Linked DNA regions of Canis lupus familiaris. The protein of the gene in region 1 interacts with the protein of each later gene in a pairwise test. Links are inferred from orthologs where the notes say so. Each region holds a gene or a part of one and is shown in the gene's direction. Other genes may lie near its edges.

What was found.
Region 2: the proteins of MED4 (region 1) and AMOT interact in binary tests that used the Homo sapiens proteins (3 or more experiments, as listed by UniProt). The two-hybrid records come from large-scale screens. The link is inferred for Canis lupus familiaris from reciprocal best matches to the Homo sapiens genes MED4 and AMOT.
Region 3: the proteins of MED4 (region 1) and TNFAIP8 interact in binary tests that used the Homo sapiens proteins (3 or more experiments, as listed by UniProt). The two-hybrid records come from large-scale screens. The link is inferred for Canis lupus familiaris from reciprocal best matches to the Homo sapiens genes MED4 and TNFAIP8.
Region 4: the proteins of MED4 (region 1) and KIFC3 interact in binary tests that used the Homo sapiens proteins (3 or more experiments, as listed by UniProt). The two-hybrid records come from large-scale screens. The link is inferred for Canis lupus familiaris from reciprocal best matches to the Homo sapiens genes MED4 and KIFC3.
Region 5: the proteins of MED4 (region 1) and TXLNA interact in binary tests that used the Homo sapiens proteins (3 or more experiments, as listed by UniProt). The two-hybrid records come from large-scale screens. The link is inferred for Canis lupus familiaris from reciprocal best matches to the Homo sapiens genes MED4 and TXLNA.

The regions. Positions count from the first base shown.
Region 1 is NC_049243.1:3,361,236-3,367,619, forward strand, and holds the start of MED4 (mediator of RNA polymerase II transcription subunit 4), read left to right. Parts: upstream 1-2,047; 5' UTR 2,048-2,075; coding exon 2,076-2,200; intron 2,201-4,672; coding exon 4,673-4,739; intron 4,740-6,384. UniProt on the Homo sapiens protein: Component of the Mediator complex, a coactivator involved in the regulated transcription of nearly all RNA polymerase II-dependent genes.
Region 2 is NC_049260.1:86,470,596-86,477,032, reverse strand, and holds the start of AMOT (angiomotin), read left to right. Parts: upstream 1-2,916; 5' UTR 2,917-3,335; intron 3,336-6,437.
Region 3 is NC_049232.1:8,953,281-8,958,859, forward strand, and holds the end of TNFAIP8 (tumor necrosis factor alpha-induced protein 8), read left to right. Parts: intron 1-2,278; coding exon 2,279-2,844; 3' UTR 2,845-3,926; downstream 3,927-5,579. UniProt on the Homo sapiens protein: Acts as a negative mediator of apoptosis and may play a role in tumor progression.
Region 4 is NC_049223.1:57,968,300-57,974,658, forward strand, and holds the start of KIFC3 (kinesin-like protein KIFC3), read left to right. Parts: upstream 1-2,620; 5' UTR 2,621-2,635; coding exon 2,636-2,801; intron 2,802-2,850; exon of another isoform or gene 2,851-2,908; intron 2,909-3,485; exon of another isoform or gene 3,486-3,604; intron 3,605-5,713; coding exon 5,714-5,856; intron 5,857-6,359. UniProt on the Homo sapiens protein: Minus-end microtubule-dependent motor protein. Involved in apically targeted transport. Required for zonula adherens maintenance.
Region 5 is NC_049223.1:68,413,137-68,419,053, reverse strand, and holds part of TXLNA (alpha-taxilin), read left to right. Parts: coding exon 1-169; intron 170-1,784; coding exon 1,785-1,876; intron 1,877-4,171; coding exon 4,172-4,342; intron 4,343-5,917. UniProt on the Homo sapiens protein: May be involved in intracellular vesicle traffic and potentially in calcium-dependent exocytosis in neuroendocrine cells.

The DNA.
Region 1 (6,384 bases):
ACCTATAATTGGTCATTTTTAAGTGATTAGGGTTTTAACTGATTGTATGTGGAAGCTACACTAATAGGATCTCCCCACTCCCTGCACCAGAATCATGCCCAAGATGAACCTATGAGAAGAAAACCAACACAGACTACAGTTGAGCCCCTCAGAAACTTAAGAAATCACTGACCAGAGCTGCTGGCAGGTATGCTTGGAATACAAGGGTCATTAGGAAGCTTAAATCTAATGTATTCCATTGTCTGAGAATGGACCATATTTAGAGAAGGGTTTAGCCAAGAGCAGAAGTAGGGAATGGTTGGAAAACAAAAGGTGTCCTCAGGTCTCTTGCATGGTCTGGGGACACAGATATTCCAATCTCTTTACTACAAACATCCGTATGCTATGTGGATACAAATCCTGATGGTTAAAAAAAAAAAAAAAAAAAATCCTGATGGTTGCATTTTTTTTTTAAAAATCTATATTCATTTGTTATAATCCAGGTTTACCAAGCCACATTCTGATGATAATTGGTCTTCCTGTATAAGTTTGTCCACAAGGAAAATTGTGCTTGGCACTAATATTTTTTATTGTAAATGAATAAATCAGCATTCTGGATTGTATAGCAGTTGCTATGAATGGTTTTGTTTTGTTTTCGCATGAGTCCCTGAGGAAATCCTCAAGTCTGGGTACCCAGCAGGAAGCAGGCTAAGCACCTCCAAGAGAACAGGCCAGAGGTCAGGATGACAGAATGAAGGAGACACTCCAAGCTGTTGTCTGTAGGTGACATCTCTCCATCTCATCTTTGAAAATCACAGCTTGGCCCCATACAGAACCCGCATCCCCAGTACTGTTGCAACTTTGGGTTTTCCTGATAGGGAGAGTTTCCAACTACATTGCTCTCTCCAGGAAAAGTGAGTTGAGGCGGAGTTTGGGCTTTCATTTGGAATCTGTGTTGTATTGATTATTTAAACCATTTTCATACACTACCTCTTACCTGCTATATTTACTCATTCACTTCCAACAGGCATCTTGATCAGTGAGCAAAACACTTTGTTGGGAGATAGATGGTTATAAAGATGGATTGTGAAGCCGTAGAAGCAACCCCAATGTGTGCGGATGAATGAATGGATAAGCACAATGCGATGGCTATACGTTAGGGAATATTGTCCGGCCTTAAAAAGGAGGGAAATTCTGACACGTGCTAACACAGGGATGGGAGTGGAGACATTACACTAAGTCAAATGACACAGTCCCCAAAAGACGAATATTGTATGATTTCATTTATATGAGGTCCCTAGAGTAGTCAAAATTTGGAGACAGAGGGTAGAACGGTGGCTGTCAGGGGCTGGGGCAGGAAGGAAGGGGGACTTGTTGTTCAGTGGACACAGTCCCAGTTCTGCAAGATGGAAAGAGGTAATGGATGATGGTGAAAGTAGCATAACCACATGACTATGCTTAAGGCCCCTGACCCTACACTTAGCCATGGTTAACACGGTCCGTTTTAGGTTATGTGTGTTTTACAACCATAAAGAAAAAGAGGCAGATGATGGCTCTTGTCCTATGGTGCTTACAACCCCTAGGAGAGGCCAAACAGGAGGGTGGGGCTAGCACTGTAGGGATGCACACTAAAGACGGTTAATACTGAGACCAGCCCATCTCACAAAGAAACTGATAGAAGGGGGCATCTGGGGAGCTCAGCGGTGGAGCACCTGCCTCCGGCCCAGGTCGTGACCCCGGGTCACGGGTTCGAGTCCCACATCGGGCTCCCTGCAGGCAGCCTGCTTCTCCCTCTGTAAATAAAATCCTAAAAAAAGAAAAAAGAAACTGATACAAGATGTAAGTTGTTATGCAAATTTCCCGACAGGCTTAAAACCCCTCCCATTGGTGCTTGAGCCCTGAGCGCCCCGAGCCTGCTCCCAGGGCTGCACAGCGCCGCCGCCCGCAGTGCACCGCCAGGCACGTAGGGGGCGCTGCGGCCCCGCCTCTGCTCCGCGCCCCCCCCGCCCCGCCTCGGTGGCCCTCACTTCCGCTTCCGGAGCCCGCCTCCGCGCGCCGGGGTCTGCGCAGTCTCCGGCTTCCGGCCCGCGAGCAGCATGGCGGCGGCCTCGGGTGGGGAGAAGGAGAAGGAGCGGCCGGGGGGCGGCGCGGGCGCGGCGGGCGGGAACAGCACGCGGGAGCGGCTGCTGTCTGCGCTGGAGGACCTGGAGGTCTTGTCGAGGTAGGGGCGTCGGGCGGGCGGCCTGGCTGGAGTCGGGGAGGCGGCGCTCCGGAGACCGCGGCGGGGTCGTGGCCTCGAGGTCGCAGCCCCACGAGACCCGGACGCGGCCTCTTCCCCCCGCACAGCCCCCGGGGGACGCTTGATAGCGGCGGTGACCCCGGGACCCTGACACTGGGAGATGGGGGGAGGGGGGACCTGGGGGGGCGCTCGGTGACCTGCAGGGACACCCGGGACCTGACACTGGGAGATGGGGGAGGGGGGACGTGGGGGGGCGCTCGGTACCTGCAGGGACACTCCGGGACCTGACACTCGGTGATGGGGGAGGGGGGACCTGGGGGAGCGCTCAGTGACCTGCAGGGACACCCCGGGACCCCGGCACTGGGAGATGGGGGGAGGGGGGACCTGGGAGGGCGCTCGGTACCTGCAGGGACACCCGGGACCTGACACTCGGAGATGGGGGGACTGGGGATCTGGGGGGGCGCTCGGTACCTGCAGGGACACTCCGGGACCTGACACTCGGTGATGGGGGAGGGGGGACCTGGGGGGCGCTCGGTGACCTGCAGGGACACCCCGGACCCCGGCACTCAGAGATAGCTGTCACCTATTTCCATGACTGTGTCCCAGCGGCTAGGACCTAGTCAAAGCAGATGCCATCCTTTGTCTACAGAAGCCACTTAACTTGATTTCCATTCTACTCCTCTTAAAATCCATTTTCCAGGTAGCTTAGCAATTGCTTAAAAACATAAATCAGGTCATGTCATTTCCATTTAAAATGATGCATCAGTGGGGCGCCTGGGTTGCTCAGTCAGTGGGGCGTCCACCTTGGGCTCAGGTGGGTGCAGGGTCCTGGATTGAGCCCTGAATCCGCTCCTTCCTCTGCCTCCCCCTCCTTCATTTTTTTTTTCTCTCTCAAAATAAAAAAATCTTTTTAAAAAAGTTAAAATGATCCAGTCGCTTTCCATTGTACCTGGAATGAAATGCTGATTCTTTACCATGACCTGTGAGGCCCTCACACAGCCTGGCCCGCCTGCCCTCCAGACCCGTCCTCATTGTGTATCCTGCTCCTCGGTACTGACTGCTGTGTCCTGGCCACCCTTCCTCAAACCCATCTTTGGGCCCCTGAACCCGGCTTTTCTCACTTATAGAAGCCCTCCCTGACTCCACCAGTGTGAGTGGCCAGACAACTCACTGACACACTCTAACACTGCTTCAGTTTCTTCCCAGCCCTTCTTCTAACTCTGGTTTGATTTACCTGCTTTCTTGGTTTTTCTCTTCTGTATTATAATTTAAATTCCTTTGTTCACTTTCATAAGCTAGGCATCCAGAAAGTGCCTGGCACACAGTGGAAACTTAAATGTTTAATCAGTGGGTGAATGAAGACTTTCCATTGCCATATCCACTTTATTCATTAATTAGCTAGCTAGTGCATGCATAATGGTATGAGAACCTCAAAGTGGGGAAGGTTGGGTCCAGTTGGCACCATCCAGAAAAATAGTTTGAGGCTGGCAGTAAGGAAGATGGAAATATGAAGGTGAAAATAGTCTGGCGGCCAGTGAGAAGGTACAGGCTTTACTGGGGCTGACTGGTGGTGTCCTGTTGCTAATTGTGCATCTGTACCTCTTGCATAATTTCTGGAGTCCCATCTGTCAGCAAGTTTGAAACTAGTGTATCAGGATATTACCTGATACATATTTTATACTCCTCTTTATACTAGTTTTCATAAAGGAAAATTGGCATGTCTAGTAAATAAGCATTCCAGAAAGATAGGACTTTATTATACATTAGAATCCCTTAGTTGATACCTGTTTGGTTAATTAAAAATTTCAGTTCACATAGAAAATCATTTAAAAAATGATTCATCTACTCCTTAATTTAGGGGGTTTTCTTGCATAAACCACCCATAATGCCTTGTCCACCAATTTCTAGTGTGTTTCGTTAAAGTGAAATGAGGGGTGCCTGACTGGCTCAGGCAGTAGAGTATGCGACTTGATCTATGGGTTGTGAATTTGAGCCCCACCTTGGGCATAGAGATTACTTTAAAAAAAAAAAAAGTAAATAAACTTAAATGCTTATCAAGCAGTCTTAGGGTAGACTTGCTGAATTTTCATGACTTTGCAGTTCTTTGCAGGCAGCTGTTGAGTCTTTCCCAAGTATTCAGTTTAGGTTTTTATGGAAATTACTCTTTTCTGTTGACAGTCATATTTCGTTGGTATTTATGAAATGGATATTTAATATATTTAACTATACTAGTAAAGTAAAACTTGCATAACTGGATCTGGTAACAGACATAACTGAGTCTTGGTGAGAGAGTACCGCTTAGCTGATGAGAGCCCAAGCGCACGGTCACTGGGCAGGGGCTCTGAATACTCAGCATGCTGTGGGTGCCATGAATCTAGCAAGTCAGTTAGGTAGAGATCAGTTAATAAAGCTTCTGTTGTATTTTGCAAAGATGTTTTTGTTTTTCTTTTTTAGAGAACTTATAGAAATGCTGGCAATTTCAAGAAACCAAAAGTTGTTGCCGCCTGATGAGGAAAACCAGGTAAGTGGTTTCTTTTTATATTACAAACAAGAAATCCCCATTATTTGTGCAATTTCCCTATTTACATTTACTTTGTGTGAGAACAGGAAGATTGGATTCTGTTAAATTATAGATTACAATTTTTAAATTGATACTTCGAATCACTTACATAGGGTAACACTGCTTGAGAAGAAAAAAGTCTAAAGGTTTAGCAGTATTGTTTTTTCTTCTAGTTACACATTTATTCGTTTTTGTCTTTTGAATTAACCAACTAATAAACTTGTTAAATGGAGGTTAAAACAATATTTGAAATAAAAAAAGTTAATGCTGTCATAAACTACCTTTTATTATATAGACCTGGTTCCCCTAATGCAACTTGAGAAGTAATAGAAATTAAAGAGCATACAACTGTTAACAGAAGTTATTTTGTGGAGGTTAAATTTACATGTTTTTATTTTCTTTATTCCTTTCTGTGCTTTGTAATTTTCTACGGTGAGCAGATTTTTTTTTCTGATCCAAAACCTTTTTTAAATTAATTAATTTGTATTATTTATTTACTCATGAGAGACACAGGCAGAGGGAGAAGTAGGTCCTCTGTGGGGAGCCCGATGTGGGACTCGATCCCAGGACCCCGGGATCACAGCCTGAGCTGAAGGCAGACACTCAGCCACTAAGCCACCCAGGAATGATCCAAAAACTTTTTAAAGTTAAGAGGGCAAATGTCATTTTATGTGTTTTCTACTGTAATTTAAAAAAAAAAAAAAAAAGTTTTTTTAAAAGAAAACAGCTGGGAAAGATTAACCTTTTTAGTAACAGGAGACATCTCATAGATCTCTTCTCCCTCCTCTCTGCCCTATTATTATCTTAGTTTTATTTTATGATATGTTTTGAGGGCAGAGAAATTCAATTGACTGATAATAGAGAAGTATCATAAAACTTGTTTTCTTCAACGATTAATCCCTTCAGGTGGAGACGGGGAATTAGATACGCTACAAGTAGTAAAAGCTGGGACTTTGGGGGAGATTAAAGTTGTTTTTAGTATGTTGTTTGTTTTTAGGAAAAGCTTATAGAGAAAAATGCTAATAGAGGAATGCCAGTCTCAGATACTTTATTGATAAATACATGTAAAATTAAGTAAGTACTTACTACAAAATGAAATACAGGTTTTGACTTTACTTCCCAGGCACACAGATTATTCAATAGGTCATAACCAAGACCTGCCTGGTCAGCACTAACTTTTCTTATACTTTTTAAGGACTAGCAGTTCTGTCCCTAAAAAATAACAGTACCTTGTCACATAAAGTTGTTGTGAGGATTTACGATACTGCATGTTAAGTACAAATAAGGAGAGCTCAGTAATGGATAATTGTCATCGTCACTACCCAGGGAAAGAATTAAACTTTATACTTAGTGTTGTGAATTCCTGTATAATTTTCAACGAAAGTACTAAATATTAGTTTGGATGTGCCCATATGAAAATTTATTTTTGGAAATTGCTCTTTTTTAAACCATCTTCATCATAAAACAATAGTATGCATGACATCACAGGTCTAATATGAGTTATGTATTTTCTTGAACATAATAGCAAAAATGTGCAACTGTAAAAGTTTTTTTAAGTATCAGACATTTATCATAATAGTATTTCTGCAGTCAGCTTAACTCTGAG
Region 2 (6,437 bases), on another chromosome or scaffold:
CAGGATCTGAGGGGGGTATTAAAGGATTTAAGTATTTTAGGGGTTTCCATTGCAGGAAGGCCCTAGTAGCTGTAGGGAAGACAGGCTGGAACGGTCTTTTGAGGGCAACTTCAAAGCCGGGGACAGACATTCGACAAAGAGCTACCACGCCTTTGCCACTAGGATTTGCTTCCCAGCCTTTTCCGTAATGGCAAAAGATGGGAACTAGCCTCAGTGTCCTCTCAATAGGGGGACACATAAAAGAATCTTGGCACATTTGTGCAATGGAACATTGAGCTCTCATGAAAAAGAACTAAGTAAAGGAAGTTATACTGAGATGGAAGGATATTAAGAAATGTTGAGTAAAGAAATCCAAGGGGTGCTGTGACTGATGATCCCACTTATAAGGAGCAAAAATGGAACATCTCTATGTCAATAATATATTTTGAAGATTACACACCGGCAGAGAGAAGGGGAGAAAGGGACTATAAGAACAGAGTGGTCGAGAAGAACTCTTTACCCCTTAAGGTACAGGATTGATTTTATCATGTGCATATAGAACTTTTTCCATTTTTCCAGCATTGTTTATTTTAACAAGTATCCCCCTGCTGCCACTATGATCAGTAGGAGTCTGCAGCATATACCCCCGCCCTGTCTCTGCCATCCACTCTTCCAAATAAGGCTGGAATAATCTTCCCTTGCCTCACAAGCCAGGTGCCTCCATGTCTTTAACACTCAAAATCTTACTTTCCCCATTAAAAATCACCCAAATAACTTCACCTCACCCATCTCCTGAATTATACCAAGAATCCATCTTGCCCATGTTCCTGCTTCTGAATCTTTGAGCACCCTGCACATCCAGGCTACCCCACCGCATGCCAGGAGCCTATTACTCTTCCTGGACCCCGTTATATTCTAGGACCCCGTTCACAGTCAGGTAGTGTTTCCTTTGTGCACATTTCCTCTTATGTGCTGTGATCCATGGCCTCTCAGGAGGCTCCCTTTGGGCAGGCTTGAATTGGAAGTCGTTTTTTTTCACAGGCATGAGTTCATCATAATAGCTCTGCATTGTCAAGACCTTTACAACTAGACTCATTTTCATCTTGTAACGTTTTCTAGGAAATATGGATCTGCAGAGAATGGTGATTTTCATGGTAAGTGTTCCCTCATGTTTGTTTTCACAAGCTCACTTCGGAGATACACAGCATGATTTCCTCTTTCAGTACCAGCACGACAATAGATTTAGGTCCTGGCGCCACTGCAGAACTGTTTAAAAGAGAAATCTCACCCACCCTGGTTAGGAAAGGGATAATTTATTATTTTAATTGTGGGGATCTGACTTCATATCCACCCTCAAAAGTGTAGGAAAAGAATTCACTTTTAAAAATAAAGTCACAAAGCCTACACACCTTGGATGTAGATGCTTAAAACAGATGAGCAGAACATTTGATTTTCCTGGACACATTCAAGACTGTTCACCATGGGACATATACAAGGAGGAAGACATACATGTGTGGAGTGCTCTGTGGTTTGCAGTTTTCACACACATTTCATTTTATTTTCATATGCCAATGTTGTTAATAGGGTATGTCCTACAGCTTTTATTTACAGATAGAAAGATTAAGGCTCGGGAAAGTCAAGCGACTCAAAAAAGTTGCACAACTGGCTGTTAAGTGCTACAGTCCAAAGTGAGTTCCTCCCTTCCAAGTTCCGTGTCATTCTGCTACCCCTACAGTGTTCCTTTGGGCTTTTGTTTCCCAGATGTAAAAATGGTAGATTTTCAGTGTCCCAGGATGCTGTTCTTAACTGTCTGTGCTCTCAGGCAGGATCAGTTTTTCGCAGCCGGGAAACGTGAACACCACAGTGATACTTGACGTACTTCTTGCCCCTCCGGGCCTCATGAATTAAGGGGAAAGAAAAGCTACCTATTTGGGAATAGCGGGCCAGACCTTGCCACAAAGGTGTACGGGAGCCAGCCGACGACACACTGTCGCACTCTCTCGGGAGACCGAGAAACCTAGCGTCTCTTCTTTCTCTGCTCAGCAGTAGCCGGGGGGGTGGGGGGGAGATGGAGAGCGAGACAATAGTCTCTTGTTCAGTTTTATTAATTTTGAGAGAGGGTGGGACAAAAAGATCGGACCGACGACGCAAGTGACCAATCCCGACCGAATCCTGGACGGGGATTCGCCAATCCGGAGCAGCGAAAGAACGCCGGGTGAGACTTAACTCTTCACCGCCCGCCCCTCCCAGGCCGGCCCTCCCAGACCGCCCCGGAGGCGGAGACTCCGCGGAGCCCCGCCCACACCGTCCCCGCTGCCAACGCGGCCCGCCAAAGGGAAGGGGGGCGGGCATGCGGGGGTGGGGTGGGAACGGGGAGGCTACCGGCAGCAGAGGAAGAAAGAAGGGTGTCGCGCAAAGCTGCGACCTGGGTGGGGGCCTGCTGGTCATAGGAAGCAAGAAGGGAAGGAAAACAGAGGAGCGCTGCTCCTTCCTGCATTATTTTGAGCAAGCTTTGCGAGAAGCTGCTTTTCAGCATTTCTATTTGTGTTTCTTCCTCCCGCTGTGGGGCGGGGGGCTGCACGGGCTCTCCCACGCACCTCCCCTCCGCTGGTGTCGTAGATTATTGTTGGAGTCTTTGCAGAACCCTTTCTTTCCCCCCAGCCAGCGCTTCCGTAGCCTCTCAGGACCCAGTCAGCGCGTTGAGCCACGTTAGCGGGTGGACGAGAACTAGGACCCTTCGCATTCGCTGGAGTGGCTCGACCCCGCCGTTCAATTGTTTGAAACTTCCCCGCCCCCTGGCCCCGCCTCTCTTCCGCCCCCCGCCCCTCCAGGGTCCTGGACGGCTCCCTTCCTTCATTCCCCGCCCTCTACTCCGCCCCACTCTCCAGTCCACCCCCTCCCACTCCTCCCCCCCGCTCCTGGGCGGTCCTAGCCGCGCACCGCAAGAAGAAAAGCCACCCATTCGTCCTCCTCCCCTACCTCCCATCCTTTGCCCAGGAGCTGCCTTCATCGCAGTCACGCCCCTTCCTTCCGAGGAGCTTTCTGGCTGCCCAAGCTGGTAGACCCCCTGATTTATTATTCCTCCATCTCCTCTCTGTTCTGCCTTATCCTCTCTTAGTTCTCACCGCCCCCTCCAGCCCCCACCTCCAGCCTGTCTTGCGTCCGACCATCTGCTGCTCCACCCTCTGGCCCGGTATCCTGCCTGTCCACTGCCACCAAGGAGAGCCCGGACGGAGCAGTGAGGAGCGGAGCAGCCGGAGTTGGGGCTTCCCCCTGCCCATCCCTGGCCTCCGGCCCGGGACCGAAGCCACTTGAGCGAGCAGAGAGTCGTCACCTTGTCTTCGGTGCCTTCAGGGGTAGGAGAAGCATGGTTACTTTACGCGGGGAACTGGGGCAGGAATCCATGGTGGCATGAACTTGATCGTGCCCTCGGCGTGAGTGAGTTGATCTAGATGTGTGTGGTGATGCCCGTGTGTTCTACTTTCTTTGCAGCTGGCCGTTGAGTTTTCCAGGATGAGCAGCAACTTAAATCGGTTAAAGAGTGTGCGCTCCTCTCCCGTCCTACGGAGATGCTAGTGGGTACCACTACTTGATGGTACTTTTACTTCCTTGCTCCTGGGACCCTTGTAGGTCCCTAGGTGATTAAGCACAAAAAGGAATGAGGGAACTTCAGGTCTACATTTACTAAGGAGGAATGTGTGCGCTTATCTCAGATTGCAAGATGCGTTCCTCCCTAAATGCTTAGAGTTGGGGTGGGGGCCCACACTGCCCTCCGCCGGGGGCTGTGAATTCTTGAAGTCCTAAAGTCTGGGAGTAATCTACCATGCTACACTCCTTTTAGTCTGTGTGTGTGTGTGTGTGTACGTGTATGGTGGTGAGGACTGGATTGCCCAGTATCTGCTTTAGAGATGTTAGTAAGGACTTCTGCAGGATCATGCAGGTGTCTTGAGGGTCCCAAGCCCAGGTCACTGTACATTGGTGCGTTAGCAGCAGGATGGATCGATCAATATATGAAAACAAAGAAAAATGAGAGGGAAAGTGACAGTCTTTGTAGTCTGGTAAATTGCCACTAATAGTAGTTTAATAATCATCTGCAGCAAGGGACTAGATACAATTAAATGAGAGAGGAAAGGGGGCGTTTGTGAGAAACAGCATTAGCAATCTCTAGCATGTGTTTTAGAAAGAATCGTAGTTATGTCTAATGTAGCTCTCCTTCCTCCTTCCGTTTGCCACCCTTACGTTAAGAGTAGAAGTTGGGAGGCGTTTAAAACTTTTTTTGGGATCCCTGGGTGGCGCAGTGGTTTAGCGCCTGCCTTTGGCCCAGGGCGCGATCCTGGAGACCCAGGATCGAGTCCCATGTTGGGCTCCCGGTGCATGGAGCCTGCTTCTCCCTCTGCCTGTGTCTCTGCCCCTCTTTCTCTCTCTGTGTGTGTGACTATCATAAATAAATAAAAAAATTAAAAAAAAACTTTTTTGAATATAACCTTTTTCCATTCAGAGAGGAAGATAATTAGTCACCATAGTCTCCAATAATGGAGGGCTAAGGTTATTTAAGTCTCCTTGAACTAGGTTTTGTGAAAAGTCCTTTCGTGGGCCAGCCTTTGTGAAGCTTTCTTGGTTAGACCTTTCAGCACCTTCATTTAGGAGCTAACAATACTTTGAAATAGCATTTTGGATGCAGGATAAATTTTCACCCATCTCCCCCCACCTCTCTCCAGTCAGGCAAGCGTGGCAAACTTAGAAGGGTGGTGGTATTTAGAGACCTGTTACCAAGATGTCACCAACCCATTGCTTGTTTGGGAACAAATCATTCACTTTATTTTTAAATAGTTGTGTTGGTTGATTTTAACGGGGGGGAAAGCAAAGCAGGAAGGGAGAGAAAGAATGTTACAGGGCGACAATTTTAAAGGCTATCGTCTTTCAGATCAGCTGGGAGGGAAAAGTTGGCCTGACCAAACTACATTTTATAACTGGCCTGGGACATTTTAATAGCCAGGTGGTTGTAGAGTAGTTGCGTCTATTTACAGATGATAACTCAGGTTCCAGTTATTCTGTATGGGTTTATCCGGTGTCATTTACAGACACTTTCTGGCACTACATCATACTTCATTTTAAGATCCTTCTTTCTTTGGAAAACTCTGTGGCTCTGTAAAATTGAAAGTGCTTTTCCTAACTTCATAGTCTAGATAGGCAGTAAATCTCTGACCATGCTTGTTGTAGAGTCACTTTTAGGGTGAAAGTGGTGGATCTGTTTACCTACGTAACAGATTCTAGAAGGAAATTTTAAAATTCGCGTTCAATGCTATTTTGGATTTGGAGATTGGAAGGTCATTTCTGGTTTGTGAGATAGGAATTATTAGACAGATGCAAACCCAAGGCACTTTGTGGAGTTGCTTTTTCTGAGGCTTTATAAAGAGTGAATTACACTGTTTCTAGAATGCCCTTAAGAACAGTCTATTCAGAGCGCAGAGGGATGGATGCTATGACCTTGAGGTCCCATTGAGTGCCAGAATTCTAAGTGGGTACATCTGCTTCTGTGCCTCTCCTAAGAGCTCTCTCCCAGGGCCTGTGCCTTCTTTAAAAGGGTGTCTTTGTAATTAAGCAGCCTGTCTCCCCCATCCCCCTTTCTTCCTTTGATCCAGCTTTTTAAGGCCTTTTTTCCATTTGGAGACAAGAGGAGTTTCTCACACTCTCCTAGTCCCCTCTTAAGGTTTCTTTTCCTTTTTTCCCCCAAAGAGTCCCCCGAAGTTCTTGGGCTGGTTAGAAGTTGTTTTGTTTTGTTGGGGTGGAGGGAATGTTACCAGTGAGGAGAGGTAGAGGATATATTCCTTCTTGGGAAATGCTTGTGGCCAGGTAGCCTCCTCCATGGAGACTGAGCATTTGGAATGCATGAGAACAGTCTATTCTTAGGGACTATCTGGAAGAAATTGTCCTTTGCACCCATTAAGTGCAGCTAAAACCCACTGAAAGGGGTGGAGAGAGGTGTGTGTGGTCGTGGCCCAGCCTTTTAGGATGGTAAGTGGGTAAATGTTCCCAAATCTCCTATTACATCACCTCTTTCCTCCATGGATTCAGTGGGTTTGGAGATCTGCTTGACAGGTTAATTAGCTTGGGACTAAACCAATTTGTTCAGAATTGTGCTCTATTGATTTCCTGTCCCCAGGAATTTTTGTTGGTGGTTTTCTATGATGAGTTGTCTTTAGTCTTTCTTACTTTTTCGTTCCTTGCTGCCTTTTGTGGACTTCGGTCCAAAATCTAGGGTCCCACCCCCAAGTCAAAGGTTAGAACTTGGTCCCAGGAACTAGGAGGGTATGAAACAGGCTGTACATCCTGCACTGCTCTCCTCCACGGTGGGCTTCTGACCCCTTTTAACCCAGAGAAAGGAGGGAAGTTGCCCTTTCCACACACAGCACACAAAATCTGAACTAAAAAAAAAAAAGGAAAAGGAAAATAAGAGG
Region 3 (5,579 bases), on another chromosome or scaffold:
CTAAACAATTTTTTTGTGGCATTGTCTTTATGTTGGAAATCGAATGGGGCATTGAGGTTTAATAAGCAAAGTAGCTTACAGGAGGTGCAAACTTTCAAGTCCAGTCTTAGAGAGAGAAGCAAGAAGGATTTTTCCCAGTGATTTCATAGTGTACAATGTTTCCATCGAGTAGACATTGTAGTAAATCCTAGATGGATGTTGGGAGACTGTCACATTCCTAAAGACTCAACACAGAATAACTCTTCAACTTTGTGTGAGTTTCTGAAATCATGTTATTTACTGTGAATCTGAAATTGGGGGGTGGGTAGGATCCCTTCCTACGTAAATCAGGTTTATTTGTTGAAGTCCATATCATAAGTTCTGCAATGGAAGATAGGTCCCTGGACCTAATGTGATAATATTGACTACGCATGTGCCATTTATTTTGATACAAACTATTTAATATCGATTAACCCATACACTCTTTTGCAAACCTTTAGGAAGAGAGGTGGGTGTAACTGATGAAAATATGAAAAAAGTTTGGAAACCTTAACAAGTTGTCCGTTTCTCATGCTTTTTCACTTTCCTCTTCTTTCTCAAAATATATTTCAGTTCTTCTTCTGCAGTTTCAGTTCGTGTTTCAGACACTTAAATGTCGACATTTGTGAGGACACTGCTTCTGGTTCAGTGAGGGCGTTCTTTTAGGGCTGTGACCCTGTGTATTTGTGAGCGGCGTTCTGGTCAGTAGGAACCACTTGGTACTACCTGGAATATATAGCATGAGCTACTTTGGCCCAAGCGCATCAGATCTAACGTGGCAGTTCCACGCAGAGGGGGTCACTCTTCTTAGATACCCTCCCCCAGCCTGGATTTGGGAGCAGCTGCCTTTTTTGCTTTCTGCCGCCAGCCCGTCCAAAGTAGAAATAACTGTATACCACTAATGCCCTGCCTCATTCCTACCTATCTGTATTTTTAGTCTTTCTATCTTTCATTACTAAATGACTGCTTTCCAACACCCAGGCCTGGCCTTATAGACTAGTATACAAGAGATGACAACTGGTCCTGGATCCAGGGTGGGGGCACAACTCTAGCTCACAGGACCTAGACGGGGAGGGAGAAAGCACAGTTTGGTGGAGTAGCATGAACAGTAGGGGGAAATTCAGGGGAAAAACTAAACTTGGCTAGGGGAGTAAACATTTATTGAGCATTTTCACTGAGCATCACACAGCGTTTCATTCATATTTAGTACGTGCAATGGTTATTACCTGTATGTTACACCTCTGTCACACTAAGGGATGGCAATTTCAAAAGCAAACTTTAAGCATCAGCTTAAATGTGTGTTATTCATGTAGCACATTTCATTAGGTCATGGAAGTGGTTATTTCCACATAACGTATAAATGTCTCAAGGGAACGAACGGTGGCCGTTCCTCAGAAATAGCAAGTGACAATGAGCTCTCCAAGGAATATTCTTTTCTAAGACTCAACTTCTGGGAGTTGAAATTCTGGACGGTTAAGATGACCTACCTGGAAGAGGCGGGCCAGTATCTCAGAGAATTTGACTTTTTGCCGCTGAAGTTTAAAGCAAGGTTCTCCTCTTGATTGGCTTCCATGAATTTGGTACTAGACTCCATGTGGCTTTGCTATTTATCCTTCTTATATTTAAAGGGGTTTCTTTACATTGTTCTCGGTGCCTGCTGTCCAGAGGACAGCTGTGGAGTTGATTTTGTATTTTTGATGTATGTCTTACAAAGTTGAACTGGGGGGAAATTGCGTAAGTACTTCCTGCCTCGTGAGACGTTCCGTTTTTTTTAATCAGAAAAAGTTATCTTTTTGGAAGGTTTTCACCTTCAACTGCTGAACAAAGTGTTGAGTATATAGCAGAAGGTATTCAACATTTGAGTTGCCAGAGGCCTTAAAGATTATGCACAATGACTTGTCCTTTTCAGAAAGGAGAACCTAATGCCCAGAAATATGGTTAAAATTTTTAGTACTTTTCTGAACAGAAACTAATGTGAGTAGATGGGAGGCAACCACAGAGTGGGAAAATGAGAAGGAAGATACTCCTTAGGGGCATCTCGGTGGCTGCCTTCAGCTCAAGTCATGATCCTGAGGTCCTGGGATCGAGTCCCGCATCGGGCTCCCCTCGAGGAACATGCTTCTTCCTCTGCAGTGTCTCTGCCTCTCTCTCTGTGTCTCTCATGAATAAATAAATAAATAAATAAATAAATAAATAAATAAATAAATAACATCTTTAAAAAAAATCCTTAATATCTGTTTTCTCATTTGCTTCTTTTTAGTGGCCACAGATGTCTTCAATTCCAAAAACCTGGCCGTGCAGGCACAAAAGAAGATCTTGGGGAAAATGGTGTCCAAATCCATCGCCACTACCCTCATCGACGACACAAGCAGCGAAGTGCTGGATGAACTCTACCGAGTGACCAAGGAGTACACCCAGAACAAGAAGGAGGCAGAGAAGATCATCAAGAACCTCATCAAGACAGTCATCAAGCTGGCCATTCTCTACAGGAATAACCAGTTCAACCAAGATGAGCTGGCGCTGATGGAGAAATTTAAGAAGAAAGTTCACCAGCTTGCCATGACCGTGGTCAGCTTCCACCAGGTGGAGTACACCTTTGACCGGAACGTGTTATCCCGGCTGCTGAATGAGTGCAGAGAGATGCTCCACCAAATCATCCAGCGCCACCTCACTGCCAAGTCACATGGACGAGTTAATAACGTCTTTGATCATTTTTCAGATTGTGATTTTTTAGCGGCCTTATATAACCCCTTCGGAAATTTTAAACCCCATTTACAAAAACTCTGTGATGGTGTCAACAAAATGTTGGATGAGGAGAACATATGATCCTGTGAATTCAGACTATGAGCGCTCGGGATTTCTTTGAAAACAGAGCACTGCTGATTTATGAAGGAAAAAAATGAATTTTTTTCAAGATTACCCACGTTTCAGAAAGACTTCTGCCCAGTTCAGTTGTTAGGCATTGTCTGTAACGTTTTATGCAGCTTGTTTTGTTTGAAGAAAAGCATATTGCCAAAAATTCTGATCAAACGCTCCCTCCCTTACAGTTAGCAGATCGCGGGAAAGGTATATGGTTGTGATGCAAATTTGGAGTTAGACAAAGAAAGATATGGATGACACCAAACCTCAAGATATGTTTTTTAGGTCATTTGATGTGTCAGTACATTGGGTATTTCTCTCGTGTGCAGAGTTTTGTACTTTGATTCACTCTTGCTCCTTACTATGTATGTGTGCCTGTGTTAAAAAAAGCTGAGAATTTTCTTTTGCTATCGTTGCTCCTTTTGAGACAATTTCAAGTCTACCTTTTTGTTAAATGTTCTTTTGCTAAAGATCTTATCATAGACATTTAAGAATTAAGTCTTCATTGAGAATTAAGACATTTAAGAATTGAGGCAAAGTGAACCGTCAAAAAACGGGAAACTGCTTCTCTGAAATCAGTATTGTAGGAACCAACTGTATCTGACATTGTAAATAATGTCTAAGATATGAATATGCTTCTGGAGTGGAGTCCTGTTTTTTAGTACCAACAGTGATACTTCCAAAACGTGATCATTCTTGAAAATATGCTGGTGGGGAGATCTCCATTTTTAGTATCCGTTTGGGATGTAAGAGACACAAAGAAAAATCTAGGTGATTCTTATAAAAGCCAGTGATGTTAAGAAAAGTACAACTGTCTTTATTTTAGAGATGAGCTCATCAAAATAATTTGGGGGGGGGGGGGTATGGGCCAAAAGGGAAAAAAAGCATATTGCTGTGGAACATGAGAATGAAAATAAATGCATTTCAATGTTTAATAAGGTTTGATAGGTGAATAAAGAATGTCACTTTTTTTTATTTAACTGATAAGGTTTTTGCTATTTTGTTATTTACAATTTTGATGAGTAAACCAAAGAATATTTGCATTCTAAGTACTTTGTGTGTTGTTTCTATGTAATTTTATGTTTGTGAATGATAAAGTAAACATCTTCTTTTATAAAAAGAAACAAAACCCCTGCCAGCCAGCTATCAGGAAATAGCAGACTTAACTACCAGCCCTAAATATTTGCATTGTCACTGTGTCTATGATTTAGTGTACTTGAATTTGCCTGCCTCCAAAAGATTGATATTACAATAAGGGCTCACCAGGAAATGTCCTAACTTAAAAATTCCAGAGGTTGTGATCTGCTTTAACCCACTCCAGCCTAAAGGAGGTGTCGGTTTCTCGGGGTCCCTGTGTGCTTGTCCAAGACAAGGAGCACAGTCAGAATGTCTCCTTGTTTGATATAAAATCCTCGACCCCCCAGATGCCAACTGAAATTACCATTTTCGTCTCCCAGAGCTGATGGGTGACTCTTCTATGTTGCAGCAATAGCACAGCTTCATGGTCTGCTATGTTGCTTATGAAGTTTAGTTCAGCAGCCTGGCCTGACCAGTTCTGCTTTCCCTACATGAGAGTGTGGTCTGCGGGAGCTACTGACTTGGTGCTTTTCTGTTCTATAACAGATCTCCTTCCGCAGAAGTATACAAAATGGATTCCCCAGCCAGTTGGTGGGTACTGCTTGCTCCTCTCTAGCTATGAACAGGACCAACTAGAGAGAGGGGTTGTAAGGATAAATTTTGATCCAGCTGGGCACATTTGGATCACACAGTTGTGCCTACAGGCTAACAATCAAACATGCATGAAGGGGAGAGAGAGCAACCCTTAAGCCCACACAAAAGGAAGGCAATGAGGACTATCTGGAAGGAGGGAGTCCTATTAGCTGATTTTTTAAAATCAAATTTTTAAAAACTTCATGCTGATGGCCTTTCTGCAAACATTATGAGTTAATGTAATAGGTGAGTGATAATACTGATGTTAACAGCTGACACAGAGTAGTAATTAGGTCACCAGACACATTAACTCACTTATTCCCTACCATGACCTTTACTGTTTTACAGATGAAGGAAGTAAGGCGAGAGAAGTTAAGGAATCTGCCCAAGATCACCTAGCTATTGTCAAAACCAGGATATCCGTAAAACCCTATTTTTCTTTAAATGTAGTATGGATAGGGGCACCTGGGTGGCTGGTTAAGTGTCTGCCTTCAGCTCAGGTCATGGTCTCAGGGTCATGGGATTGAGCCCCACAGGGCTTCCTGCTCAGCAGGAAGTCTGCTTCTCCCTCTCCCTCTCTGCCCACCCCCCCCCCCCCCCGTTGCATCCCCATCATGCTCTCTCAAATAAATAAATATAATCTTTAAATAAATAAATATGGTATAGATAAAGACCATTCTAGAAACAACATTGCTTCAGACAACAACGGGCAGTGTGCTTCTGAAATGATTTTTCACATGGTGACATTTGAGATGCTATTTAAATCATACAGGTTTGACCTATTCTCTAAAGATCTGGGTATGATTTTCATACAGAGACATCTCACAAACTTTTGAACATGGCTCCTAATTTGTAGCTATCTCATGGCTCAAATTTCAGACCCCTCCAGAATTTTAATGAGAGGTATTCACAACCAGCTATGATTCCCCAGGCTGGCTTTCCATAGGTGAGAAAGGCATTATATGTGCCAACAACCAAGAGAGAAGTGGCCT
Region 4 (6,359 bases), on another chromosome or scaffold:
TTTTGGTTATAGCCACTCCACTACATGTCCCCTTTGTCCCACCCCGTGAGTCCTATGTTGGTAGAAGCCTCAGCCTTGGACTTATTTGAGTCCTGAATACTTTTGACTTTCCCACCCTCCTGGCTACTAAATTCAGCTGCTTTTTCCTCTTCAGGATCTTGCACACACCCTTCCTCTTTCTTCCTGCTATCTTCCTGGCTGCCTCTCCGACTTCCCTTCCAGAAAGCCGCAGGAGTATTGTCTCCTCCGGTCCCTGTCTCTCGGACTTAGCTGATCTCCTTAACAGTCTTCTCCCTCAAATGTGGAATCCACCTTTAATGCCCATCTCACTTTTCCAGGAGCTTGGTATGCAGGTGGAACCTGGTTCTCTCCCTCTTTGCCCCGTTAGGCCAGCTGGTCTTTGGGGTTGGCATGTGTCCAGCTCTGTGTCAAGCAACCTGGAGAAAAGGGCATCTGGCTGTTCCCCCAGCCTCCCTCTGTTCCACACTGGTCCATCTTCGTTCCTCAGTGGAGCTGGCCCTCGTATTTGGATTAGCTTTCTCCTCGTCCTTTGGCCCACAGTCCAGTAGCACTGTACCCAGAAGTGTCCTCTGAGCTGTCTTCCTCAGTCAGGGAAGGCAGAGAGCACGACTCCCTAGCCAGTAAGCCTGGCATCCATCCAGGGCTCAGCTCCGTGAACTTTGGTCACCAGATCTTCTGCTACCCATCCCTGCACTCTGACTTCTTTTGCCTCTCCATGCTTCAATCATTCCTGGCCCTGTCGACCCAGCAAGCTCAGATCTCTCCTATTCTACACACCACATCCTCTCAATTCAGCCTCCCCTCCTTATCCTGGCCAAACTTCCCCACAGAGAAGGAAGCATTGGCTTCCTTTCACCCTACCCACCTCTTGGGCCTACTCAGCTCTCTCCTCTGCCCGGCTCCATTAATGTGCTCGCTCCCTTTCAGAGCCTCCAGGACTTTCTTCTAGTTTGACCTCTCCACGGCATTGTTCACTGGGAACTGACCATCCTCTCCTTCCTACTTGCCATCCAGTCAGAGGTGCAGAGGACTCTGCACCTGCCTAGTGTTGTTGCCACCTATGACTGTCCTCCCAACGTTCCTTACCACCCAGAGTGAGCTCTATCCTTGGTTACTTTTGGTGATTATATCCTTGTCTGTGGCATTGGGACCCTCCCCGCTCTGAGTCTCCAGACCTGTTCTTTTCCAAGCTTCAGTTCTTTTCCAAGCGTTCAGGGAACGCTTATTTCAGGGCATTCACCTATCAAGGCATTGCCAGGGGTTTGGTGTGGGTGTTGTTCCAGCTCCAGGCTGGTTGGTATAGGGCTGCACAGATGAATGTGCACGCACACGCACCTGCCATGGAGAGCCATAGAGAGTCGGGGGGATTGGACACTGTTCGAATAGGTAATCTCTACTGTCTGGTGGAAAGCAATCTGCAACCCAGGTAGCACCATTAGGAAGTTCTTGGGTGCCTCAAAGTCCATTTTAAAGCCAAAAGCAAATTCCACATTGCCTCTCTGAGCTGACTTGGCTGCTTCTGTTAATAGCATCACTGTCTGAGTCTGGGACTGTAGCTTGGTACTTAAATGCCCTCACAGCTGCTTTACACATGATAGGTGTTCAATAAAGATGTGTGTAAGGAATACTTAAAGTCTGTTCTCTTCATCTGCTCAGTTCATGAGAAACCTACGCAGCTTGCTTTCTTTCTTTCTTTTTTTAAATATTTGTTTCATTATTTTAGAGAGCACAAGCAAGAGGGGCAGAGGGAGAGGGAAAGAGAATCTCAAGCAGGCTCTGTGCTGAGCATAGGGCCCCATGCGGGGTTTGGTCTCATGACCCTGAGATCATGACACAACCAAGAGTCAGAGGCTTAACCCACCACACGAGGCAGGGGTGTTCTATCCAGGCCGGTGCTCCCCACCCCCAACTTCATTCTCCCATACCACCTGGTGCCTCCCTGCATCCTGTTCTGATTGTGAAGGTTTGTTGAAGTGCTTACCTCCCTCCTGACAGGGAGCTTTGAGGCCCTATCTCTCCTGATCAAAGAGGACCCCTGGCAGGTGCCTGGCACAAAATAGACACTGGATAAATAATTATTAAATGAAGAAGCAATGAATCTTTGTATCTTACTGCCTGCCAAGTTGTAGGCACAGAGTGAAGGCTAGTTGAATAGAATGAGTGGACTTTAAGAGAATTTGATCTATATAAGCCACTGTGTCACTGGCCACAGTCAGGCCCCGTCTGATTAGAGTTGCTGTCGACCTGTGCGTCCTGTGTGTGGGGCTGTGACCTGGCGCATCTTCAGGCTGCCAGGCTTCCAGCCGAGGGGCTGAGATGGGAGGTCTCCGCAGGGTGCAGCTGACACACCGGGTGGTCTCTTCACCCACTTCTGAGCTTCCCTACTTGGGAAAAAGCCCCCTGAAATGGTGAGGGGCTGTGTTGGATCGCGCAAGGCCAAGGATCGCTGCGGGGGGGGGCGGGGGGCTGCCGCTGCGGGTATAGTGACCCTGTTGCAGGCGGCGGGCTCCCTCCGAGCTGCCACCCAGGTGTCGTCGGTCGCCGGCTCAGCCTCGCCTCCCCGTTCTGTCCGCAGGCCGCCCGGCGCCCCGAGGAGGCCGCTGAGCCCCGGGCCATGGTCCCGTCTCGCCGGCCGTGGAACCTGGGAGCCACGCCCTCGCTGCGCGGCCTGTGGAGAGTGGGCCGGGCCCGCGCGCCCGAGCCGGGGATGGCTCGCCCCGCCCCCGCCGGCCCGGCCGCCCGCCCTTTCCCATACACCGGCCCGGGGAGGTTGAGAACTGGTGAGTCCGCATTTTTAAAATGCCTCTTTATTTCCCTTCCTTCCTCCAGATAGCAGCGATGGGGCCGGGCTCTCTCGCAAGTTCCTAGGCTCGGTCAGGGCTGTCAGGTAATTACAGGGTGCCGGCAGCCCGCGGGCCGGCCGAGTGGGAGTCGGGGCGCCAATCTCGCCGGCGCTCCTGCCCGGCGCTCCTGCCCGGCGTCCTGCCCGGCGTCCTGCCCGGCGTCCTGCCCGGTGCTCCTGCCCCGCGACCTGCCCCGCGTCCTGCCCGGTGCTCCTGCCCCGCGACCTGCCCCGCGCTCCTGCCCCGCGTCCTGCCCGGTGCTCCTGCCCCGCGCTCCTGCCCCGCGCTCCTGCCCGGCGTCCTGCCCCGCGCTCCTGCCCGGCGTCCTGCCCCGCGACCTGCCCGGCGTCCTGCCCCGCGACCTGCCCGGCGTCCTGCCCCGCGCTCCTGCCCCGCGCTTCTGCCCCGAGTCCTGCCCCGCGACCTGCCCGGCGTCCCGCCCCGCGCTCCTGCCCGGCGTCCTGCCCCGCGCTCTTGCCCCGCGCTCCTGCCCCGCGCTCCTGCCCGGCGTCCTGCCCCGCGCTCTTGCCCCGCGCTCCTGCCCCGCGCTCCTGCCTGGCGTCCTGCCCCGCGCTCTTGCCCCGCGCTCCTGCCCCGCGCTCCTGCTGGTGGAGAGACGTCCCGGGCGCCGAGTTAGACCCCGGCGCGGCCGCCGAGCGGGGGGCGGGCGGGGGCGCGTCCTTGGTCCCCCGCCCAGCTCGCAGTCTCGCTCCGGTTTGTGCCCGCAGCTGGTAAACAAGGTAGGTGAAGTGGCTGCCCCGGTGCCCCGTGCGGCGCGGACACCTGATCGCGGCGGGTCAGACCGCTGGGGGCGCGAGGAGGAGCCGCGGCGCCGGCAGAGTGTGGGTGCCCTGAGCCGGGTTTCAGGTGCTATGTGGGGCGGCTCCCGCAGGGTGGCCCACAGCAGGTGGGGGCAGTGAAGGAGCCCACCTGGGATGCTGTCAACACCAGCTCTCCTTTCTGGGTCGCGTCCCCTGGTGCCTCACAGGCCAATAAGTGAGCGGCACCTCTGATTTGCCTGTGGGCTGGGTTGTCGTTGGGTCTGGGCAGTTGCCCCACGACTGCCTCCTGAGGTGAGCTTGGGCAAATCTATCTGGAAGTGTGGAGGGAGAGAGGGTCTTCAGTCCAGATGTCATCAGACGCTTGCTGTCTGTTGTTCCTGACCTAGAGAAAGAGGTTTAGATTACCAGCCTGTCTGAGCTAGCAGAGTTCCTCTGGCTATCAGATCCAAGCCCCCCTGGTACACAGAAGGGGAAACTGAGGCCTAGAAAGGGTACACAGCAGACTCCTGTTCCGTCTCCTCTCCCACCACATTTGTGCCACTGGTGGGCACCAGAGTGATACCCTCCAAAGTGTCTCTGCAGGGGACAGTGAGGCTGGGGATGGCACTGGGGGCCTCTGGGAAAAGCATAGGCTTTTGGGTCAGGTAGCCTGAGTCATCTGGAGGGGGATGAAGACGGTCTCTACTCCACATGGTTGTCCTAAGGATTACATATGTAATATGAATGAGTATTACTTTTCTGGTTAAACAAAAAAAACAAGACAAAGAAAAAAAAAACAAGCAGAAGACAAAATATGTTCCCTTGGAAAACTAGAAAAAATAAAAAAATAAAACCCAGAAAAGTATAAAAAAGAAAATAAAAATCACCTATAAGCTTGTTAGTGAACATCTTATGTAGTTCCTTCCGATCTTGTATATGTGGGCATGCATATTGGTCTATTAAATGAGTATCATGAAGATTATATGACCATACAGGCTTATCTGCTTTTAAAATTTAAGACAAAGGTCAAATGAAATCGTGTGAAATGCTAAGCAGAGTGCCTAACAGTGAGTAGGGCTTCAGCCAGCTTGTCACTCCTAGCCCCTCAGCCCCCACCCCGACTCTTGCCTCTGTCTTGGGAGGTATAGGCAGAGGGTGAGTTAGCCCATGGGATTGCAGGACTGGCTCAGTGTGACCCTGGGCACGGTTTTAACCCTCCCCGGTCGTGGTCCTAATGGCCTGCACTTATGGCCAGTTTCTGTGTGCCTGGTGGAGAGTGAGCATTTTAGGTGTGTCATTCCATGTAACCCTCAGCACAGTACTATGAGCTTGGTTCCTTATCCCCATGTTATTGATAAAGGAAACTGAGGAACAGGCAGGGCAGTAAGCACTTGGCCGGCTGCTGGCACTCAGGATACTGTCACACCCCCATGAGGCTGTACTCATTCCCATCCCATGCTACCCTGCAGGCTGTGGTGGGGGTTGAAGTGGGTGCATGGGATGTCCATACCATGATCACCTCTCTCCCCTGTCCAGTGAGGGAGGCAGTGGGTCAGAGGCTCGAGGGGATGCACTTTAGCTGGTGCTGAATATGCTTTTGGAGGCTGCTGGGACCAGGCCACCCAGCATGGCGTTGGTCTTTATGAAGTCAGGGGAGAAATTGCCACCTAGAGGCGGCCTTGGTAATAAAGCCACAGCCCTGGGGTGCTCCTCCTGTGAAGTTTAGTGCAGCCAGGTTGGCATCGGCTTCCCTTTGCTACTCTCTGGAGAGGGAGTTCATGAGCAAGTGTCAGCCCAAAAGCCACTGTGGAGGGTGGGGAACACATGTACCCCAGAAGCTTCCGGTGCCTTCCCAAAGGGAAGCTCGGGGTGGCTTTTGGGAAGAAGGGAGCACAGCTCCTGCCTGGTGCCAGGCCTTCCCTCCGAGTAGGTCAGGCATGTGAGGGCGTGTGAGTCCCTCCTGGCCGCGCCCGGGCTGGCCCAGCATGTGGGGAAGCGGAGCTTTGCCACGGCCCTAGTCAGTGGTCCTGGCCACCAGCCTTCAGCCAGGGGCCTAGCATCTTACCTGCATTCTCTGTCCTGGAACAGGGCGTGGAAAAGACACCCCGATCAGCAGTGACGAGGACTCCGGAGCCCGAAGTGCAGCTCGCCCAGCCCTAGCTCAGTGTCGAGCCCTCAGTGTGGACTGGGCCGGCCCTGGGAGCCCCCACAGGCTCTACCTGACCGTACAGGTAAGCACTGGGGCCTTCAGAAAGGTGAGGGGCCGAGCCAGGCCGGTGCACCTTACTTAGCCCTCTGAGCTGCTGCAGCTGGGTCACTGGCAGGCTCTCTGGGGAAGGAGCACGGAGAGAGAGCCGGGGACCTGCCTTGTGCCTCTTTGCTAAGCTCCTCATGGCACATCTGCCCTGAGCCTGTGTGGATGGAGCAATTTGCTTTATTAGGTTATCTCCGGGAAAATCTCACAGGAGATGACAGAGACTTTTCAGCCACACCCTGGCTGAGGTGTTAAAGTCAGAAATGTGGGACCTTCACTGAGAGGCTATTAGGAAAACAGGTTTGGGGTAGCTGTTAATCCCCACTCACACTCAAGCATGTTTGTCCATGGGGCAATATTTGTATTTCCTATTTAATGTGGGAATCCAAAGCTAGACAGAGGGTTTTGCTAAAACTTTGATTCTTTCCTCTTGCAGTTATCACTAAATGACTTTCTAAAGACAAATTTACGTATATTTGT
Region 5 (5,917 bases), on another chromosome or scaffold:
CGGACCTATGCTTCAAGGAATGGGGAGCCTGAGCCAGAGACCCCAGTGGTCAATGGTGAGAAGGAGACCTCCAAGGGGGAGCCGGGCACAGATGAGATCCGGACCAGTGACGAGGTTGGAGACCGAGATCACCGAAGGCCACAGGAGAAGAAGAAAGCCAAGGGTCTGGGTGAGCAGAGGGCAGCTACTGGTGAGGTGGGGATGTTTGGGCTAACCTGCTGTCCCAGGATTCAGAGGAAATTACTTTCTGGAGCACCGAGTCACATTAGTTTGATCCAAGCAAGGGGTGTGGACCGTAGAACAGAGGGGTGTAGATGGGATCCTGTGTCAGCCAACACTATCTCTAACCTGCTCTGTAAACTTGGGCAAGACCTTTCTCCTTTCTGTTCCTTAGTTTTCGTTTCTCTACAGTAAGATTTGGACTAGCCCAGGGTTGAAAACACAAATAAGCCAAGTTAGACAGGGGACCCTAGGAGGACAAGACATTGCCTACTTCATCCAAAGGGGTGATTGCCATCTGGTCCCACCATGCTGATAGCATATAATACTACAGGCTAAGTGTAGCCAGCCTTTTTTTTTTTTTCCCCCCCTCATTCTTTTTTCTCCTTTTTTCCCCTTTGTTATTATGCAGTTAAGTGAAATCTCTCTGGATTTTTAACAATTGGCAACTGAAGAAAAAAAAAAAAAAAACAATTGACAACTAATATGCTGGGAGCCAAACAAAACTCGTGTGGGTTTTGGCCTACGTGCTAGTGCTTTGCAGTCTCCACACTGATCTTTCGAGCCTCTTGGGTTTGACACTTCAGGAGCCTGGTGCTGTGCTATGTACAGGAGCCCTCCAGGGAGACAGAAGGAAGCCCCTTTGACTGAAGCACAGTGAGAGAAAGTTATTGGGGGCAGGGGACTAGTGTGTATGTTAAAGAATCAGAGTTAAGTGATATTATACCTGTGTCTTAGTCCTTAATTCCCCACCCTCTGTTTGTCATCCTAATGGAAAGGGTTTTTTTTGTTTGTTTTTGGTTTTATTTTGTTTTGTTTTTTAAGATTTTATTTATTTACTCATGAGAAACACAGAGAGAGAGGCAGAGACACAGGCAGAGGGAGAAGCAGGCACCATGCAGGGAGCCCGATGCGGGACTCGATCCAGGGGACTCCAGGATCACTCCCTGAGCCAAAGGCAGACGCTCAGCTGCTGAGCTGCTAAGCCACCCAGGCATCCCTGTTGTTTATTAATCTTGGGATCACATATCGGAAGATATATTTGTTTAAAAGTTCACTGTTTAGGAGGGAACAAATAAAGTTCACTCTTTGGCTACCACTGTTGACAAATGTTTAGTAGTTACCGAGGAAACCTATTCCTTTTTGCCTCCTTCCTCTTTCGAAAGGGCTTTCCTTGCATTGACACAGTAGCACTTAAATTGGCCATTGGGATGTCTTTTTTTTTCCTCCTGCTATTAGAGCAGGCAGGTTTTTTCTCCCACTCTCAGTGTTCACCATGGAGTCTCCACATAGACTCAGTTATTAGTCTATTAAGCATTTGTTGAGCATGTCGTCTGAGATGGGCACCAAAGACAATATGGAGCAGCACTGGGGCCACAGTAATAGGCTGAGTTCAGTTGGTGGTAACCCTCATGAACCACACGGTCTAATGGGATGACAGCCAGGTCAACAAACAGTATCAAATATGATAATGTAGGGCTGCCTCAAGGCCTGAGAGTGTGGGCCGAGGCCTGGGGAAATCCCCAGAGAAGGGGGTACATGATTTTGATCCCTGTGCTTTGCAGGGAAGGAGATCACGTTGCTGATGCAGACATTGAACACCCTGAGCACCCCAGAGGAGAAGCTGGCAGCTCTGTGCAAGAAGTATGCTGAACTGGTCAGTTCTCCCCCTTCTTCTTGCATCCGCCCTGCCTTGGAAAGTCAGCAGGCCACCTGGCATGGGGTTGAGGGTGCCGGGGCAGGTGGGTGGCTTAATTCCTATTCAGCCTCTCTCAGCCTTTTCTCCATCTGTTAAGTGGAGAGTCAAGTCCCAGCTGGCCCCTTCCATGTTGACTGTAAGAAGAAACCCTTCATATTACAGTGGTAAAACCATAGCTCCTGGCCCCAGTCCCACATACCATGTCATCTCACACCTGTGTGCCTCAGTGTGCATCTCCCCAAAAAATGCACAGTGCCATCCTCACATTTAAACTAACACTGATGTGATACTCTAATACGCATATTTCCCCATTTGTTTAAAATGTCAGTTTGATCAAATCAGGGTCTACAGGAGATCCATCTAATACTTTAGGTCCTTACAACTTTTTTTCCTTTTATTCCAAAATAGTCTTCATTTACTGCCAACCTTTTTCTCATGACATTGATTTACTGCAGATCAATCGCCCTGTGCCTCACTTCTTCGCTTTTGTGGTGACATTTAACTTCTTCCTTTACCTCCTTAGTTCCTGTAGATATAGGGGAAATTAACTCTAGAAGCTTGATCCAATCCAAGTTCAACTATTTTGATAAGAACTCTACATAAGTGGTACTCTGTAGAGAAAGTGTGTTCCTCCCACTTTTACTGATGGAAGATTGTCCACTGAGTTCAGGTGGGGCCAGCCAGGTTCCTCCCTTGTCAGGTTGCCATCAGAATTTGTATAAATGGATTAATCCACTGTGGGTCATTTCCTAACTACTTGTTTTTAAGTTCTTTCACTCCATTTTCATTTATTAGCTAGAATTCTCTAAGAAGTTTTTCTCATTTGTAAAATTGGGAAAAATCACACCTGCCTTGTGGGGTTGCTATAATGATTAAATAAAGGATAGGATATGAAAAAGATACCACCCCTTCAGAATGAGCCATCCAGGGAAAGATTGATGAAGAGAGCAGGAGCTGAGTGATGTTCTCAAGTAGAGAAGGAGCTAAGGGCCAGAGCATAAGGAGAAGGCTGGCTGTGTTGGGAAGCACCACTGGATCCTGGTAACCAGAGGAAAAGGCCGGTGCAGGTGGATGGGCAGAGGTGGAACTTATGCCCCTGTGCCTCTGGTTGCTTCCATTCTCAGGGAAATGAGAAAGATATTTTTTGCTGGGCCAAAGGAGAGCTGAGAAGGAGGAGGATGAAATAGTTCTCTGGAAGAGGAGTGTGACTAACATAAGGAATATGGTTAGGCCGCATGGCAGACGAGGGTCTTCCTCAAATGGGTAGTTAGGAATTAAAAGAGGTTCTTCTGCTTCAGTGCCTGTGCAGAGGAATCAGAGGTTGGGATATCAGGGTTGGGGTTTTGATAGGAAAAGGGGGCAAGAGAGTTGAGTGTAAGAAGTCTTAAGACAAGTATAAGAAGGTCAGTGATTATTTAAAGACACATTCAAGGAAAGTGAAAGGATAGTTGGGTCACTGGGTTGGAGGTCCAGTATGGTAGACTTTCTGGGGCCACAAATTTTGGATGGAATGAGCTAGAATGGTAGGGGATAGTGGTCCTGCCCTGGGATGAGATAATGGAGGGGTGTGTGCTTCTGGGTAATGACAAAATCTGGATCTGATGTCCAGGACAGTAACCATTAGCCAACTGAAATGTGGCTAGTCTAGATTTGGATGTGCTCTAAGTGTAAGATACAACTTAGGTTTCAAACACCTAAGGAAAGGGGAAGAAAAAATAATGTTCAATGACTTGAACAGTTGTCATTACATAGAGTTGCACTGTATCAGCGTTGACTAGGCTCATGGGAGGGTAGCTGATGTGGGGAAAAGACAGGGTCTGAGAAGGTTAAGATCTGTCCATAATGAAAAGGCCAAAATGATAACAGCAGTCATGTTGAGTGAAGTGGCGCTAAGTTTCAGAGCAGTGAAGAGGGAGTGACGGGGGTCTATTGAATACAAGGAGGAGTGGTAAGGGGTGTCATCTGAGGACATGAGTGTCACAAAGGTTGAAGGAATGTAATGGTCTGAGAGTCTTGAGAACTTCATCTCTAGAGTTAGAGTGGGGAGAGGCTGGGGTCTGCAGCCTCTGAATCCCTGCTTGTCGTAAGTGCCTGTTTCTGTATACTGGAGATGGAGCCCTTGGGTTTATCGGAGAAGTACATTAAGCACCCACACAGTGTCCAGCCAGAACTGTTAACAACTGGAGTCGGGAGAGGGCCGGGGTCCCTTGGGAAAAGCCCGACTAGGCACTTACTTGCCTTCCTGCTCCACAGCTGGAGGAGCATCGGAACTCCCAGAAGCAGATGAAGCTGCTGCAGAAGAAACAGAGCCAGCTGGTGCAGGAGAAGGACCACCTGCGTGGGGAGCACAGCAAGGCTGTCCTGGCCCGCAGTAAGCTAGAAAGCCTGTGCCGGGAGCTCCAACGCCACAACCGCTCCCTCAAGGTGGGCTGGCCCCTACGACTCTGGTTCCCTTGACTTCCACTTTTCCTTGGTGGGCTTTCCCCTTAAAAAGTAGCACGGAGGGATCCCTGGGTGGTGCAGCAGTTTAGCGCCTGCCTTTGGCCCAGGGCGTGATCCTGGAGACCCGGGATCAAATCCCACGTTGGGCTCCTAGTGCATGGAGCCTGCTTCTCCCTCTGCCTGTGTCTTTGCCTCTCTCTCTTTCTTTCTCTGCCTATCATAAATAAATAAATGAATGAATGAATGAATGAATGAATGAATGAATGAATAAATAAATAAATAAATAAATAAATAAATAAATAAAATCTTTAAAAAAAAAAAAAGGTAGCATGGGATTTTGGCAGAGAAATTGATTTCCCCAGTAACGCCCTGCCTTAGGGATAGCTGCCTGTAACCACTTGACCTGTCCCTGTGTCAGGTATGGTGAGGGAGCCCAGGAGGCAGGTCTTTGATATTGTTCAGTTCACTGGCAGTCTGCAGGTAAGTCAGGTTCCAGCGCTGGTGGACAGCTCCTCTCCCAGACTTAAGCAGTCTGAAATGCTGGGTCTTTTTTCTTTGTCCTGCTTCTCCTCAGGCAGGGTCCGTCTGGTAAAGCCCAGTCACTGCTGTGACCTCTGGGTGGTTTTTATATATGTATCCTTTATATATTTGTTACAAATTTGGGTCAGTGAATATATAGTGTTTTCCAGCTTGTTTTGTTCATTTTTAGTTTGTCTTTGACAACATTTTTACTGTAATATAAACTTGATATGAGAGATTCAGAGGTGACAAAAGTATGAGATTCAAAGGTAACAGTTGCTCACCCTCCTCAGCCCCAGTGTCCAGGAGAAACCACTGGGAAGTACACCTACTTACCCATAAGTTTAAGTACAGCCTTCAGACTTCCTGCATCCATATGTAATTTTCTATAGGGTTCTTTAAATGGAGAGGTCATGTGTATTGTTTCACATCCTGTTCTGTCCTCTCACCTAACATGTATAGCTCACTTTTCCTTTTTTTTTTTTTTTTTTTTTTTTTGAGGCTGTCTCATTCTTTTTTTTTTCCCCCTGAGATTTTACCTATTTATTCATGAGAGAGACCCAGAGAGAGGTAGTGATATAGGCATAGGGAGAAGCAGGCTCCTTGTAGGGAGCCCGATGGGGGACTCGATCCCAGGACCCTGGGATCATGACCTGAGCCAAAGGCAGACCCATCATTCTTTTCAATAGCGTTGTTGTATGCGTATTCTGTATTTTGTCAGTGCCCTAGTTAAGGAATTGCTGAGTTGTTTTTAAGTTTACAGTACTTCATACGTAGAGCTACAGTGAAAGTTCTTGTTATATATATTCTTGGGTAAGTGTATCTAGTTTGTCCCTAGGATAAACCTCAGAAGTTAAAGATCTGGGTCAAAGAGCATGCACGTTATATAAGTTTTAATAGACTTTGCCAGATTACCTCCCCACCAATATTGTCCTCGTGCCTAATTCTGCACAATCTTGCCAACCCTGGGAACTACTAAATTTTAACTAGTTGGTGAGAGGTGAGAAATGAAAGCACAAAACAAGACTGCTTAGCCTG